Linked DNA regions of Mytilus edulis. The protein of the gene in region 2 binds, or shares a complex with, the protein of the main gene of each other region. Links are inferred from orthologs where the notes say so. Each region holds a gene or a part of one and is shown on either strand. Other genes may lie near its edges.

The links.
Region 1: nuclear pore complex protein Nup98-Nup96-like (region 2) and nuclear pore complex protein Nup85-like share a complex: the UniProt entries of both Drosophila melanogaster proteins name them as parts of the nuclear pore complex. The link is inferred for Mytilus edulis from reciprocal best matches to the Drosophila melanogaster genes Nup98-96 and Nup75.

Annotation. Positions count from the first base shown.
Region 1 is NC_092352.1:40,183,628-40,191,319, reverse strand, and holds the start of nuclear pore complex protein Nup85-like, read left to right. Parts: upstream 1-4,602; 5' UTR 4,603-4,660; coding exon 4,661-4,690; intron 4,691-4,750; exon of another isoform or gene 4,751-4,765; coding exon of another isoform or gene 4,766-4,780; intron 4,781-6,386; coding exon 6,387-6,486; intron 6,487-6,855; coding exon 6,856-6,957; intron 6,958-7,692. Other genes in the region: ketimine reductase mu-crystallin-like, read right to left, coding at 375-519, 4,256-4,410. UniProt on the Drosophila melanogaster protein: Component of the nuclear pore complex (NPC) that seems to be required for NPC assembly and maintenance. Required for nuclear import of phosphorylated Mad via importin msk.
Region 2 is NC_092351.1:7,551,339-7,558,589, reverse strand, and holds the start of nuclear pore complex protein Nup98-Nup96-like, read right to left. Parts: upstream 3,200-7,251; 5' UTR 3,111-3,199; intron 1-3,110. UniProt on the Drosophila melanogaster protein: Part of the nuclear pore complex (NPC). Required for MAD import as part of the Nup107-160 complex and required for nuclear export of Moe probably via its association with Rae1. Plays a role in nuclear mRNA export.

The sequences.
Region 1 (7,692 bases), on a different chromosome or scaffold from region 2:
AAATGTTTACAACTAAACTTAATTTTGCACTATGAATTAACCATGGTGCATCATCTCCTAACTTACTTATAATGTATTTTAATGACACTATGGTACTTTACTCAACTGACCTCAATACAATAATGACATCTCTTCTTTTGTGTAATGCCTTTTTTAGTTGAGGTAAAATCTGTGATTTACAAATTGAATAGGAGAATTATCATTTTCATAAATTAATCAAAACCAGCACGAGAATGTACCATTTCCTTTGCTCCCCAGTAAAAGCTGAATTGATAAAAGATTTCTTGCATATTTTTTTACCAGCTTCTGATAGTAGTACATTACTATCATTAAAAAAGTTACATAAATGAATTTATTTTGTTTTTAATACCTACAACTTCAGGTACTCCATTTGACGCATTAAACATGGCAATAACTGCATTGTGAGTGGGGACATCCTTGTTGTTTGGATAAAATGATACCAGTTTAGTAGCAAGAACATTGTCTTCAGAGCATAAAGATGGCATCAAACCAAAAAATCTGTGAAAAAAAAAATTTAAGTTATAAACATTTGATATATAAGAAACAAGAGTATGTTGTAGAGCATAATGAATAGGACACAATGTCATGCTCATAAATGATATTGTATCATTTCCATGTTCAGTGAACCATGAAATATGGGTCAAAATCCTAATCTGGCATATATTTTGTAAAGTCCACATCATAATGAAATGTATACATATACACATTCATGGATCTACAATCTGTCGATAACTGTATCTCGGCATTGCACAAGGTCATGTTTTTCTCTGACTGTTTATGACATCTTTACACTAAATCCATTGGATGTTGGATGTGACAGATTGGTAATTTAGTCTAAGATGCATGATTTTTTTATTAGTTGTTAGTGGCTTTGAACTAGCTGTCAGATAAATGCAAGTACTCTCAGATCTGTTCCTAGTATCTTTATGTTGTTGGGATATACATGTACCCGTCCACGTCCACTTGTATTTGTATTTTTGTCCATCTGATGAGTTAAGCCTTTTTTAACTGATTTTTATAGTTCGTTCTTATGTTGCACTGTTATACCACTGTTCCAGGTTAGGGGGAGGGTTGGGATCCCGCTAACATGTTTAACCCCGCCACATTATGCCTGTCTCAAGTCACGAGCCTGTAATTCAGTGGTTGTCGTTTGTTTATGTGTAACATATTTGTTTTTCGTTCATTTTTTTTATATAAATAAGGCCGTTAGTTTTCTCGTTTGAATTGTTTTACATTCTCATTTCAGGGCCTTTTATAGCTGACTATGCAGTATGGACTTTGCTCATTGTTGAAGGCTGTACAGTGACCTATAGTTTTTAATTTCTGTGTCATTTTGGTCTCTTGTGGACAGTTGTCTCATTGGCAATCATACCACATCTTCTTTTTTATATGGTATACTAAGTTTCAAATTTATCTGACTACATCTTCATGGTACTTAAAATCAAAACTATAACCTTGTATGGGATTATAATAATTCTTGCAATACAGCATCATTTTTTTCCAACCACTTGCTCAACATGGGAATGGAAGTGATGATGCCCTTAAACCCATAAATGATGTTCACTAAAACCCAAGTTTTTGACAAAAATGCATCAAACTCCAAAGTTGTCCATTATCAGATATGGTGGTACCATAGATTTTTTGAAAAATTAATTAAATGCATACCTGTAAGACTCTTGACCTTTTACCTAAAGATCAGTGGGTTCTTTTTATTCACCTGAAAAGGCAAAAATCTGATTTTGGTTTATAAGATTTTGTCCTGAAACCAAATTTCCCCAAAATGCATTCTTTTTTCATTAGACCTTACCCATGAGTCTCAACAATGAAATTAACCACCATCAAAATATCTGGACAATTTCACTTTGAAAGGCAACACATGGAAAAGACCCTAATTTTTTTTTTGTCAGTATCAAAAAGCCCCTTTTCTTTTTTGTCAGTATCTAAAAGACCCTTCTGGGGTTTTTTTTTTGTCAGTACAACATGTACATGTATCTCAATGAGATACTGACAAAAAAAACCAAAAGGGTCTTTTCTTTCCAAGGGAAATTGTCCAGATAATCTGATGATGGTTAATTATACTGTTGAGTATAATTCTATCAATTGCTGCTGTTTCCTTGAACTTTGACATAATGACTTAAAAATCAAAATGCAGTGGTTCATCTCATCATTTCAAATTTGGTAAAAGTTGGACACACAGTTCTGATATTGTCAATTTTGAAAACAAATTTTTATCAAAATATCAGTGTACCAATAGCAGTTGAAGCAGTTGTGCAGTCAGGGGTTCTACTTGTACAAGTAATTTTTCAAAATTTTGCTTTGAACTAGCTGTCAGTTAACTGTGAGTACTCTCAGATATGTACCTACTGTCTATGTTGTTTGGATGTACAAGTACCTGGCCACGTCCACTTGTATTTAGTAAAAAATCTGAATTTCAAATGACATAACTAAGCCAAAAAGTTATTTACCTATACAAGTAAATAAAATACACTTGTATAAGTATCCTACAAATTTACTTATAAACAAATAAATTAATATCACTGTGTCAAGTAAATAAAAATTACTTTTACCCCTGACTGAAGGGGAAGGACCTTTACCAGGACTCCGTGATCTGGTGTTTTTAAGATCAGGATTTCGGGATTGATACTTTCGGGATTCAAGAATTCTTTTTTCGAATTTTGGGATGTCAGGATTTAAATTTCTTTAAACTTGGGACCTCAGGATTTCATGTTTTTAAATTTGGGATTAAGGGATCAGGACCCCTCCGACCCCCCCTCCTGACTATTGTGACTTTGATTCTAAAGTCAAACGGAATCTTTTTCATCCCATTAGGAAACCAAATCTTTGAACATTTGAACTCAATTTTTTTCTTGGTAGGAAGAAACTTGGTTTTTTTATTTTTTTTATATCTATAAATGTATTATATAGGATGGTGACTGCATTTAAGGTTCATCATAACCTTTTGGCTAAAATGGCCGTATTTACACCCCAAATTTTACTCTGAGTACAGACTAACCTATACACCTGCAACAGTTTTAAGGGATGGCAGATATATAGATATATAAATTTTAAATGCATTTTATGTTTCAGAAAATTATAAACTTTTCTAGATTTTGCTATCCATTTTTTTTCGTTCCTGCAGAAGGTGCAAAAATTAACTAAGTAGTGAAAACGATTGAGAAGCTCCCCTCATATAATCAATGTTGTGAGTAGTATTGATTTAAATGGACAATAGATGGACAATAGACACCTGTAAACAATAGGTTATTTAACAGGTTTAATTGTGTAACTGAGTGGACCGTATCAAAAGAAACTCAGGTGTTTGTTTATTTTGCTATCTTCTGCAGACTGGAAAAAAATGAACATCAAAATCCAGGTAAATTTTTAATTTTCTGAAACGTAGACTTCATATAACTTTTATATATCTAGTTCCTGCCATGCCTTAAAACTTTCCTGGATGTACCAGTTTGTCTGTACTCATAGTAATTTTGGAGGTGTAAACACAGCCATATTTTTCAATTCCTTATGATGAACCTTAAATGATTTACCTCATCTGACCACTATATACTATACAAGCCCCTATGATTGATTGATTGTTGGTTGCTTAACGTCCAGTGGCAAATATTTCATGCATATTCAGGACGAGAACAAGTTCACAATAAATACAATAGGTAGGTTGTTGTAAGAGAGGCCATCTAGGATGATGGTCGGGGAAATTTGGACTGCCACTGGAAAATTAGGGTATATTGGATAGGGACAGAAATTTTGCTTTGCAACAGGCCACCTACGGACCCCTCAAAGAGTTGTTGCAAGGGTTCTTAACGTGCAAAGAGCGTGGCACTCTCTTTACAGGAGGCATCGGATATAACGTCCCCTTCTGACGGACGTGACTGCGAACTTGATACATCCCGCACAGCCAAACGGAGGCTCCACTTCAGCAACCGTTTTACTGCCGGTCGGGAGAAGACCAAGTGACCATATTTCTATACCCCAGTCACCCTTGGGGTTACAAGCCCCTATGAAGTGAGTGCATGTGTGTATGTTTTTTATGGATTGTAATTCATTTTTTCTTTGGGAATGGTTAATTTTCTGGTAGTAAGTCATGTGACAGCCAGGCTTAAAAATTCTATTGATATGTGCTAATACAGTGTGACAAATGTTCTTCTTTCCATCATAACTCATGATGGTGCTCCTCAGGGAGGAGGGTTGTAAATAAGTATATAGTGTGCATACATACCCACCAGATTCCTTGACAGGAATAACAGATCTTACAGGTTGAACAACTTTTTTGTCTGAAAATTTGGCAAGAGCTTTTTCCATTTGTGGAATAAGCAATTCAAATGTAAGAACATTTTTCACTTGGGAAGCAGATATAAATTTCATAAGTTCCATTCTGAATTTTGACCTCAAGTTCTAGTATGGGTACTTGACTCCGATCTCAATAGTTTGGTGTTTTGTAAAATAACTAAAAACTGGTTGTTTTTTTTTTAGATATGTACAACAAAAAACCAGTTTCTAAATCATAATTTTATTAAATATTGCATACAAAAGTTTTTTTTTTAATGTAAAGTTAAAAGGAAACATAGCATCAGATCCAGAATATTTATTTTAGAATGCCCCTTATTAAAGGGAAATAACCAAAATGGCCGAGCGGGAAAAAGTCTATTGCCAGGTTTTCATTTTAATAATTTAATCACTTCAATTCAATTGTTACATCAAACAGAATTTTCAACAAGTTTCGGCTTCAATGTTTCTTTCAAATGTTGTTATTTGTTCATTTAATCACGTCTTTTTCTGAACCTTTTACCACTTTTCATAAAAAGATTTTGACCCTCTCAAGAAATCTTAAAACAAATATTTTTCTATTTACGTACTCTTTGGATCAGCTTCCATCTTGCTGAAATATATAGAATATGAAGTTTATACAAACAACTGATACATATGAATAAATCTTTTTTCCTAAACAGTCGAATAAAAACACAGTTTGCGTCATAAAAACATTATAATTTACATGTTTGCAAAGTCAGTTATTTTTTTTCCTAGTATGGGAAAGACTGGTGTCATAATTGGTAATATTTGGGAGTTGAAAGATCATGTATTTTTGTCAGGGATCTCCATAGATGAAAATTAAACGATGGAGGAACTACTGTGTCTATGTTGTACAGTGAAGGGCGATCGAAACTATTTAATCCCTCCACCTAAGGATTGGTGAACAGGCTAATTCATTGCTTATTTAATTATATTTATTTGAATTTTCATTATAAATAGAAGTATAAATACTTTTAATAATTGCCGTTTTTAACCATTCAAAAGCCAAGCCTTCATGGTCTGTAACTGGATTATTAATTGATTTATTTAATCTAAATTATCATAAGCATTTGCGGAAACTTAGTTGAATAATTCGACAAATGAATCGTCTATCTTCAGATAGTATTCTCCTGTCTGGTTTGTTGATCTACCTGTACAAGTGATTAGCGATCTTATCCGGATATCCCTCAGGCGTCAGAACTGTATTGAATTATAATATAAGCCTGAGGTTTATGCAATTACATGCATTTGATTATAATTGCTAAAAACAATGCTGTCGGGCTATAAAAACGATAACAGTTTTGAACGATAGCAAAAGACAATTTAACGATGGCGCAGGTCATTTGACGATGGCGCGAGACATTTGAACGATGGCGGGGCGCCATCGTTAAACAGGCCATGGAGATCCCTGTTGTCCTGAAAGGCAATTTTATTTTTTTGTATGTTGCCTTGCCACCTCGAATAATTCTGTAATGTATGCTCCTGTTCCAAGTCAGGAATCTGTATTCAGTGAGAGTGGTGACTGGACAGTCTGCGCCAAAAACTTTTACATCTTCTAGTCCTGAATCTAAATATCAAAACTTGTCCTTTTATGACGATATAAAATATTGAAAATTTTCACTAGTCCGATACAGGAAGTGTATTCACTATTGACATTTGTTTTGAATTTTAGGATTAATTTATTATTATTGAACAAAAAGTCATTTGAACACAGTGTGCTGTGAAACACAAGGACACAAGACTTTCTTATTACATTTGGATTAGATAAACACATACATGTAGTACAACATGTACAATGTAAAAAAGAAAAACAGAAGAAATCAATCTTGAAATCAATTATTATATAGTTGTTCCATAGGAAGCAAATGTATGAGAGACATGAAAAACATATAATTAGATTTTTTTACTACAAAATGAATTCCCTATTATCCTTATTTCACATTGGCCTTTTACATCTTTGCTAAACATTATTGATTTTGTTCTGTGTTGAAGACCTTGGCTTGTATAATATATATGCATTAATTTTGTTGTTAATGATTATACTTTTTGTTCATTTTCAGACAATATATGACCCAGCATGTACTGCAGGGCTACAGTCTACATGGGGATTTGGGAACCAGCTTTTTGTATTTCCTGGAAGAAAACCCACCTTGTATCCAGGTATTTGTTACATGTACTTGTATTATAGATTAAATATCACATTAATTAATCTTCATATGTTTTCTTTGCTTTAACCTTTTTCTTTGATTTTTTTCTCTTAGACAGTTTTTTTTCTGGTCAACAGATCGATAGGAGTTTTTCATGAGACCATATATGGACATAATAATTTGTATGAAATTTGTTCACAATGTGTATCTTAACCTTTTATAAATTGTGACTTGGATGGAATGTTGTCTCATTTTAACACTCTTACCACATCTTCCTATAATATCTATTATGTATTTTTGTCATAATGTGTAAATGTATTCTTGTCATTATGTGTATTGTATATTCTTGTCACTGAAATGTTTGTATTATTTTCTGTTGTAGAAAATCAGTTACACTGTAGAAGATTACAAGAGATCAGGGAAGTGAGATGGGATATAGATTTATATCATCCAGTCATGAGAAAGCTTGTAAATGAATCTCATAGTAAGTAGATCTATCTTAATCAAGAGAAAGTTTTGAATCTCATATAGTGAGTTGTTGGAATACAAATCAACACAAATCATGAAACAGTTTTTCATTGACTAACATAGTGAGTTATTGGATCTTATATTCTTAATGGCATCCATTTAAAAAAACTGTCAATCCCTGAACAAAATTGTCTGTTTAATATGCATAAGTCTAGAAAAAAAGATATAAAAGCATAAATTATTCATTTTGTATTGAACAGATATAATGAAGAAAAAAAAATTGAAACTTTTGACGGCTGCCTACTAAGTCAAATCTAAGTCATGATTACAAGCTTAAGCATATACCTGAAAACGAAAAATAATGATTATGCATAGTTTTTCCATTGACAAGATTTAAGTTATTTCCCTTTTAAGCCATACTAGTGGGGCAATGTGTAAAAATTCTTGTAAATCAACCAAATTCAATTTGTAATACAGACTGTTGTGTCCAGAATCAATTTCATTTATTTATTTATTGTACCCTGCTAAATTCATAACCACAATCTAGTATTAAAGTATCTTTCTGTAAGTCTGAATAAACAGTGAATAAGTTATTTACCAATAATTTTTTTTAAAGATGTCCAAAGCTCCAATTTCATACTACATTGGAACACATTTTGATACAAAAAGTATGTAAAACGAGAAATTTCTGACAAAATTAAAAAAAAACCAACATATTTGATAGCTGACTGTATACACTTAAATGTGTTAT
Region 2 (7,251 bases):
TTATTATTGTTTTGATATCTCTGTTGGTCCATTTAAAGCACGTTCTTATTATTGTTTTGATATCTCTGTTGGTCCATTTAAAGCACGTTCTTATTATTGTTTTGATCTCTCTGTTGGTCCATTCAAAGCACGCTTAACCTGGTTGTATAAACTCTTTACTTTTTCTTATTATTATTTTGATCTCTCTGTTAACTTGGTCCATTCAAAGCACGTTCCACCTGGTTGTCAGAATCGTGGGTGAAATATGTTTTGTTATTTTAAAATAACATGTTGTAATATTTCTTGAAAGTAATTCCATCATTCAGTATTGTATGGTACAATATTTGTTTTTTAAAAGATCATCAATATAATTAAAATATAGATCTCTGATTTCGTTACACTACATAATGTAATATAACGAAATTAGATATATATATTTTAGTTAGATTCAAAGAACACCTCTTTATCAAGGCATTTGTCAACTTCAATCATATTGTCCCTTTTATTTCATCTTTGATTGATATATTTTCAATGTTTGGTGGATTAGTTGTAAATATAAAGTATATATCTAAACTATTGGTTATTTTGCTGTTTGTGATAGACTTTCTTCACTGAAGTGATTCTATGAACTTTTTACTATAATTATTGGGTTTCAAGTTGTCTTTCCTTGAACCTCGCCTGTGTTTCCCATAAAATATATGGCATGTTGAAATCTCCAGTGTCAGAGTGCTAAGTTTAGTAGATTGTCAAAGGGGTATCAAAGAAATGTGTAAAAGCCATCAATGAACTATTTTTTTTTCCAGGTACTAGTATTAAGATGTTTACTGCCTTGATATCAACTTAGTTTGATTCCAGTATATTTACAGTCAGTGACGAGTGTTTCCAGCTATATAGGGTTAAAACTCCACCACCTTCATGTTCATACTTTAAACAATACAATACTTCAAAATATTTGTATCGAAGATTTCAGCACTTGATTTGGTTTATTATCTAAGTGTGTTCGTATGCCTGTATTATATGAGGTTCGTGCATTTCTATTAAGTGTAGTAAATTCTTTCTTTTTGCAGAATGTTCAATCTCCAGCTTTTCGATAGACACACCTATTTTGTTCACATCCATTCTTCCAATAACATCCACATTTAGAAGAAAAAAACCATTGTTCATCCCAAATGGAGGAGTTGCAGACAGTTTGACTGCTTGTCGAAAGATCTGAAATTGTCAATTAACACAGCTGACGGACTCCAAAACTGGGAATCAGTGGCTTCAAACTAATATTTCATATTTTCATCTGATGAAAATAGGGTTGTATTTACTTGTTTTCATCACATTTCCGCATTAAAAAATACTTCATACCTACATTAAACAAATATTTACTTTTTATTTGATTTTTGTCGAGCCTTCGACTTTAGTCGAAAAAGCAAGACTAAGCGATCCTACATTCCGTCGTCGTCAGCGTCGTCGTCGTCGGCGGCGTCCACAAATATTCACTCTGTGGTTAAAGTTTTTGAAATTTTAATAACTTTCTTAAACTATACTGAATTTCTACCAAACTTGGACAGAAGCTTGTTTATGATCATAAGATAGTATTCAGAAGTAAATTTTGTAAAAATAAAATTCCTTTTTTTTCCGTATTCTATTTATAAATGGACTTAGTTTTTCTGCGAGGAAACATTACATTCACTCGGTGGTTAAAGTTTTTAAAATTTTAATAACTTTCATAAACTATCCTTGATTTGTACCAAACTTGGACAGAAGCTTGTTTATGATCATAAGATAGTATCAAGAAGAAAATTTTGTAAAAATAAATTTCCACTTTTCCGTATTTTACTAATAATGGACTTAGTTTTTCTGCGAGGAAACATTACATTCACTCTGTGGTTAAAGTTTTAAAATTTTAATAACTTTCATAAACTATCCTTGATTTGTACCAAACTTGGACAGAAGCTTGTTTATGATCATAAGATAGTATCAAGAAGAAAATTGTGTATCTTATGATCGTTGCGTCACTGTCTATATATATTTGATATAATAGGTTTATACTGTTCAGTAATTGCTATAGAAGCACTGTAATAAAAAAAAAAAAAACGTAGTTTCGAACAGGATAATAATAAGTGCCTGTTTTGTCTTTGTGTGACTTTTAGGAATAATGTTTTAAAAATTCTTCTTATTTTTTCCTGGTTCGATACATGTTATGTTACATTTAATTTTCCCTCAATTATTAGAACTTTTGTGAGTAAGTTTGCTCTTGATCTAAAGACATAAGTATTAAAACAAAGCCTAATTGAGCCTCAAACTTGTTGAGTGAAGACTTTTTTTTTATAGAATTTTTGAATAAAAAAATACTTTTATTTGCAAATTCACTGGATTTAATCAGGGAATTTGTATAACATGTATAAAAGATCTTAAATATTTCAGTGATTTTGTAAAATCCCGACTACGGTCAAAATCATTGATTTGATAAAATCACTTATCAGTTTGACAGTGATTATACAAAATCACTGAAATTTCAGGAATTAAAAAAAATCCCTGAATTTACAAATTGACCGTATCATATATATATATACCTGAAATTTGTCTCATGGTAATTTGTAACAGTTTTAGAGAGATCCATATTCTTAAACACGAGTTATTGTCTGGAAACTAAAAAATGCTTGGTTTTGGCCCTTTTTGGGCCCTTAATTCCCGCATGAAAATTCAGCCAAATCTGTTTAAGAGGATATAAAAACACTTATTTATTCCAATGACCACGAACCTTGTGCTTCCAAAGTTTTTTTTTACTATATATATCTGTCCACCTATTTCAGTCTCCGATATGCCTACTGAAAATTGTTTCAGATGTATATGTTTTGTTAACCTGTTAACCCGGCCTCGCCCGGTTCAGGTCAAATCATTTAACTGTCTTCACTTACAAAACATTACAATATTGTTCATACATATTTCTGTTATTATTTACAGTGAAGATCTAAAGTTATATTTTGATATGATTAACATACATTCCAAAGTTACAAACAACTTAATAGCATGGACTATTGCCGTTTCAAAAGTAGAATTCCCGAAAACTGATTCAACAGTTGTTATATATAACGATATCTACAAAAAATGATCTGATTATTAGGAAATATACAACTCACCTTAATAAAATTGAATTCAGATAAACGAGCTTTCGTACTAGAACAATAAGGTCCGAATGTCGAACCCAACAAATAATATTTGTTTATAGACACATATTATAGTGATTTTCTATTAATAGAAAAGGGAAAATACAGTGTTTACCTGTTTAAACCAGTTTTAACGGAGTGAAGTTAGAATTGACCAGTGAGAATGTGGAAAAACGCCCCTTTAAGCACATTTAGCCACGCCTTGTTACGCCTATCAGTTAAATATGATTTATTTTTAGTAAAGGGAATTTTATTCTGTTCTGGTTTTCTCTAGATGTATCCATTTACTTTAGCAACAGTTCTTTTCTCTGACTTTTACTCCCAAGGCTTGCATTATTAATGCGTTCGATAAATCAACGTTTAACACACAGTCACTTCTCCGTATTCTTTTCAGAGACCGTGTCTGTGATGTAACACAGTATCAAAATCGGCAACCAAAAATAGCAACGGAAATATTACAAGTTTTCTTATAGACTAAAACAATAAATATTTCATGATTTGACATTATGCACGTCCTTCAGTGGACTTCAGTATAGCTCAATTTATTAAAGTATACACGAGACCAAACGTTGCTTTTTGTGTGTGTTTTGTTGTTGTTGTACATTAACTGGTTTTGCGTCATGTTTTTATTTCAATAGATATAGTGTTCACCCCAAAAAGTAAAATCTACGGAAACGTCCACAAATAGTAATCTTTTTAAAATGGCCGGGTAATTAAGATATGTTACAGACATTCATTTCTTTAAAAAATAAAGAATGGTTTTTATAAACAGTTACATGTATGGATTATAGCAAATTTGTTGTGAATATTTAAAGAAATCAAACGTTGTCATTTTGAACCTAGGATTAACATTTAACTTTTTTAAACCAGTTACACGTACTAGCGGATTTATATTATTTATTATTTGGATCCTTTATAAAAAGGTTTTTAGAACATAGTGCAGGGGACTCATAGTCTTTTCAACTTCATTTGATGGTACTTTTGTTGTAAGAGCTAATAGTATTTGTCGTGGTGAAGTCAGAACCCCTGAGTTTTTAAACGGGACGTATTATGGTATATCGTTGTCTGTCCGGCCGTCCGTCGTCAGTATGTCTGAAAATAACTCTGAAAAACACATACTAGTAAACAATTAACACGAAACTTCGGTGAATTGATTATATCTGTAGGACTCAAATCTATGGTGAGTTCCAAATCTATGGCAAATGTGACGTCATGCCATCCAAAATCTATGGCAGATTTTTTACAATCCTAATCTATGCCGGGCAATTGAGGTATGATTGACCTGACAATATAAAATGTAAATGACCCTTACCTTCACCAAGTCCGTGATGTCACTCCATTCCAAGATGTGAATAAAATGACAGGTGATTATAAAACAATTGGTAAAACATTCTTGGGCTTTACACTGCTTGAAAGATTTATATGTTTTCTTTAGAATGAGCCATAAATGAAAATTTTTATAGGCCCAGAAATTATTAAAAAAAATAATTAAAGTAAATTCAATTGACCTAGACTTATTTTTGCATCAATTACATTTTATAATAAACAAGAAATAATAGTAACAGGATAATGTTACGAAGTCTTCCAAACAGAGCTTCCATAATTCGTCATTCTCATGGTCGCCTGACATTGGGCAAAGTCCAGTACAAATTGGTTAGGTCTAGTAAAATGATATGCCTATGTGACGTCTAGGAAATTGACCCTGTATGTCATTCAAATTTTCTTGAAATGACAAACAGCAATAAATATGGTAAAGGGGTGGGTATCTCACCGTTTACAAGTTCTCAAAAAAAGAGGGGGGAGTGATCCCCAGTGGACTCGCTCTTTATTTCATTTGATTTAGTTTATTGTCCCATACAAGACATACAAGAATATATATGGTTTCGGGGTGTGGATCTTAACCGTTTACAAGTTTTCAAAAAGAAGGGGGGTTGACCCCCATGATACCCCCTATATTTCATTTGATTTGTTTTATTGTCACATACCAGAATATATGTGGTGTATGGGCGGGGATCTCGACCGTTTACAAGTTCTCAAACAGAAGGGGGTGGGTGACCCCAGTGACTCCACTATATTTCATTTGACTTGTTATCTTGTCCCATAGATGAATATATATATAGTATATGGTTAAGGGGTAAGTATCGCACCTTTTACAAGTTCTCAAAAAAGAGGGGGGTTTTATAACATCAGAATACTAATAGCTTACGTTTCGTGTAAGTTAAAATTACCGCCGACTTGGACAACTATATATAACTTTATTTCCTCTATCATATAGAGATTTGGTGACACCGTGTACATGCATGAACAATATTCCTGTGCCTTTTGCCATTTGGGAAATGTAAACGACTTGTAATTAGAGATTTTCGGCGATGAAATATTTCATACAATTGTTCTTTGACATCTTAGCCAAAAGCACATAGGATAATAAACTACGAACGGATTTCTATTGAGCACTACTTCTTATGTGCAACTTCAAATTTTTTGGTAGTTCGACGATCATTTAAGGTTTTTCTGGTCATATGTATTGCATTCCAGAATTGAAAGTATGAAAAAAGTGCCAAATTAGTTATTCTAATAACATATTAACCAGCCAGATAATAACAATAGCACTTTTAACACCATTCAGTGGGAAGAACACAAATTTATCTATAGGATGGTAGCATAAGGCAGCTTAACTGCTTAAAAAACGCTTTAGTCTGTTGTTTTTTTTGTGGAATAAAAGCATTGTAAGGCTAAATACAACATTTATAAACAAAAAATCATGAATGTCGGATTAATAATATCTTTCATTCTCTAATACTAACACACCTTGTACATATAGCCTTGAATATTAAACTCAAACTGTTATATGATCTTATATCACGTCTTGTCAGAAAGGAAGTCTGTTTGTTTATATTTTTTTTATCATATTCACTTGAAATAAAGTGGTCAAACTCGAAAAAAAACGATCAAATCACTCGAAAAACCACGATCCTAGCCGGACACTATACCTACCGTGATTATGAGCAACAGGACGGGTGCCCCATGTGAAACAGGGTCTGCTAACCCCCATTTTGATGGGGTTCGTGTTGCTTAGTCTTTATTTTTCCATGTTGTGTTTTGTGTACTATTGTTTGTTTTTGTTTTTGTTTTTTAGCCATGGCGTTGTCAGTTTATTTTCGATTTGTGAATTTGAATGTCCCTCTAGTATCTTTCGCCCCTCTTTTATAAATACAAAACTTTATTTTTTTTCTTAATGATTCTCGTAGGATTTTTCACGTGGGTTTTCATTAAGATTTGTTAATTTTTAGAGTTTTTCTTATTTCTAAAGATAGTTCAGACTGTCCCTGATTTCTAAGACTTTTTGCCCGGTTAATAAATGAAATGAAATTTAAAAAGATTTAATTTTAAGACCAAGTTAACATAATGTTTGTTCCAATTATTTTGCTTAGTAATTTTTTCCAGTATGTAGATGATTGATGGTTGGTTGCTTAACGAAAATTGTACATTGATATTTCCTACCAAATCAAATCAAATCAAATCAAATCGTATTATTGGTGTAAAATCTAAATATTGGATTGTTACCAAGACAAACATGACAATCATTACAAACATACAATATTTAGATTTAAACAACATTCATATCATATAAGACTCCATATTTAGATGTTTTTGGAGGAGGTGATGTAATTGTTATAAAATATATCATAACAAATAGGCCTACTATAAGAAAAATATAAAATAGTCATAACTTTGTTACATCGACTAGTTTTTCGTATCAGCTAGGCTATTTCTTTGCAACAAATGAATGCTCAATATTCAACCAATTTAAAACATAAATCCCTATACAATAATTTCAGTTACGTCATACTCATTAAATGTAAACACAAATGCAATTTTTTCCTTATCAGACATTTGGGTGAAATCTGGAACTATACTCTCTACTTCCTGAAAAAGTTTTTGCCTACATCCTTCTAAAATTTGACGTTTTAAAGCAAAATGATATGATATTCATCTTCTACCTCCTATTTACAGAGAGGACATAATCTTTTTTCCAAAGGTAATTTACGGTGTCTACCCTGTTCAATATGTAGATGACTTATTTTTATAAAATTTGATATCATGTATCGATCTA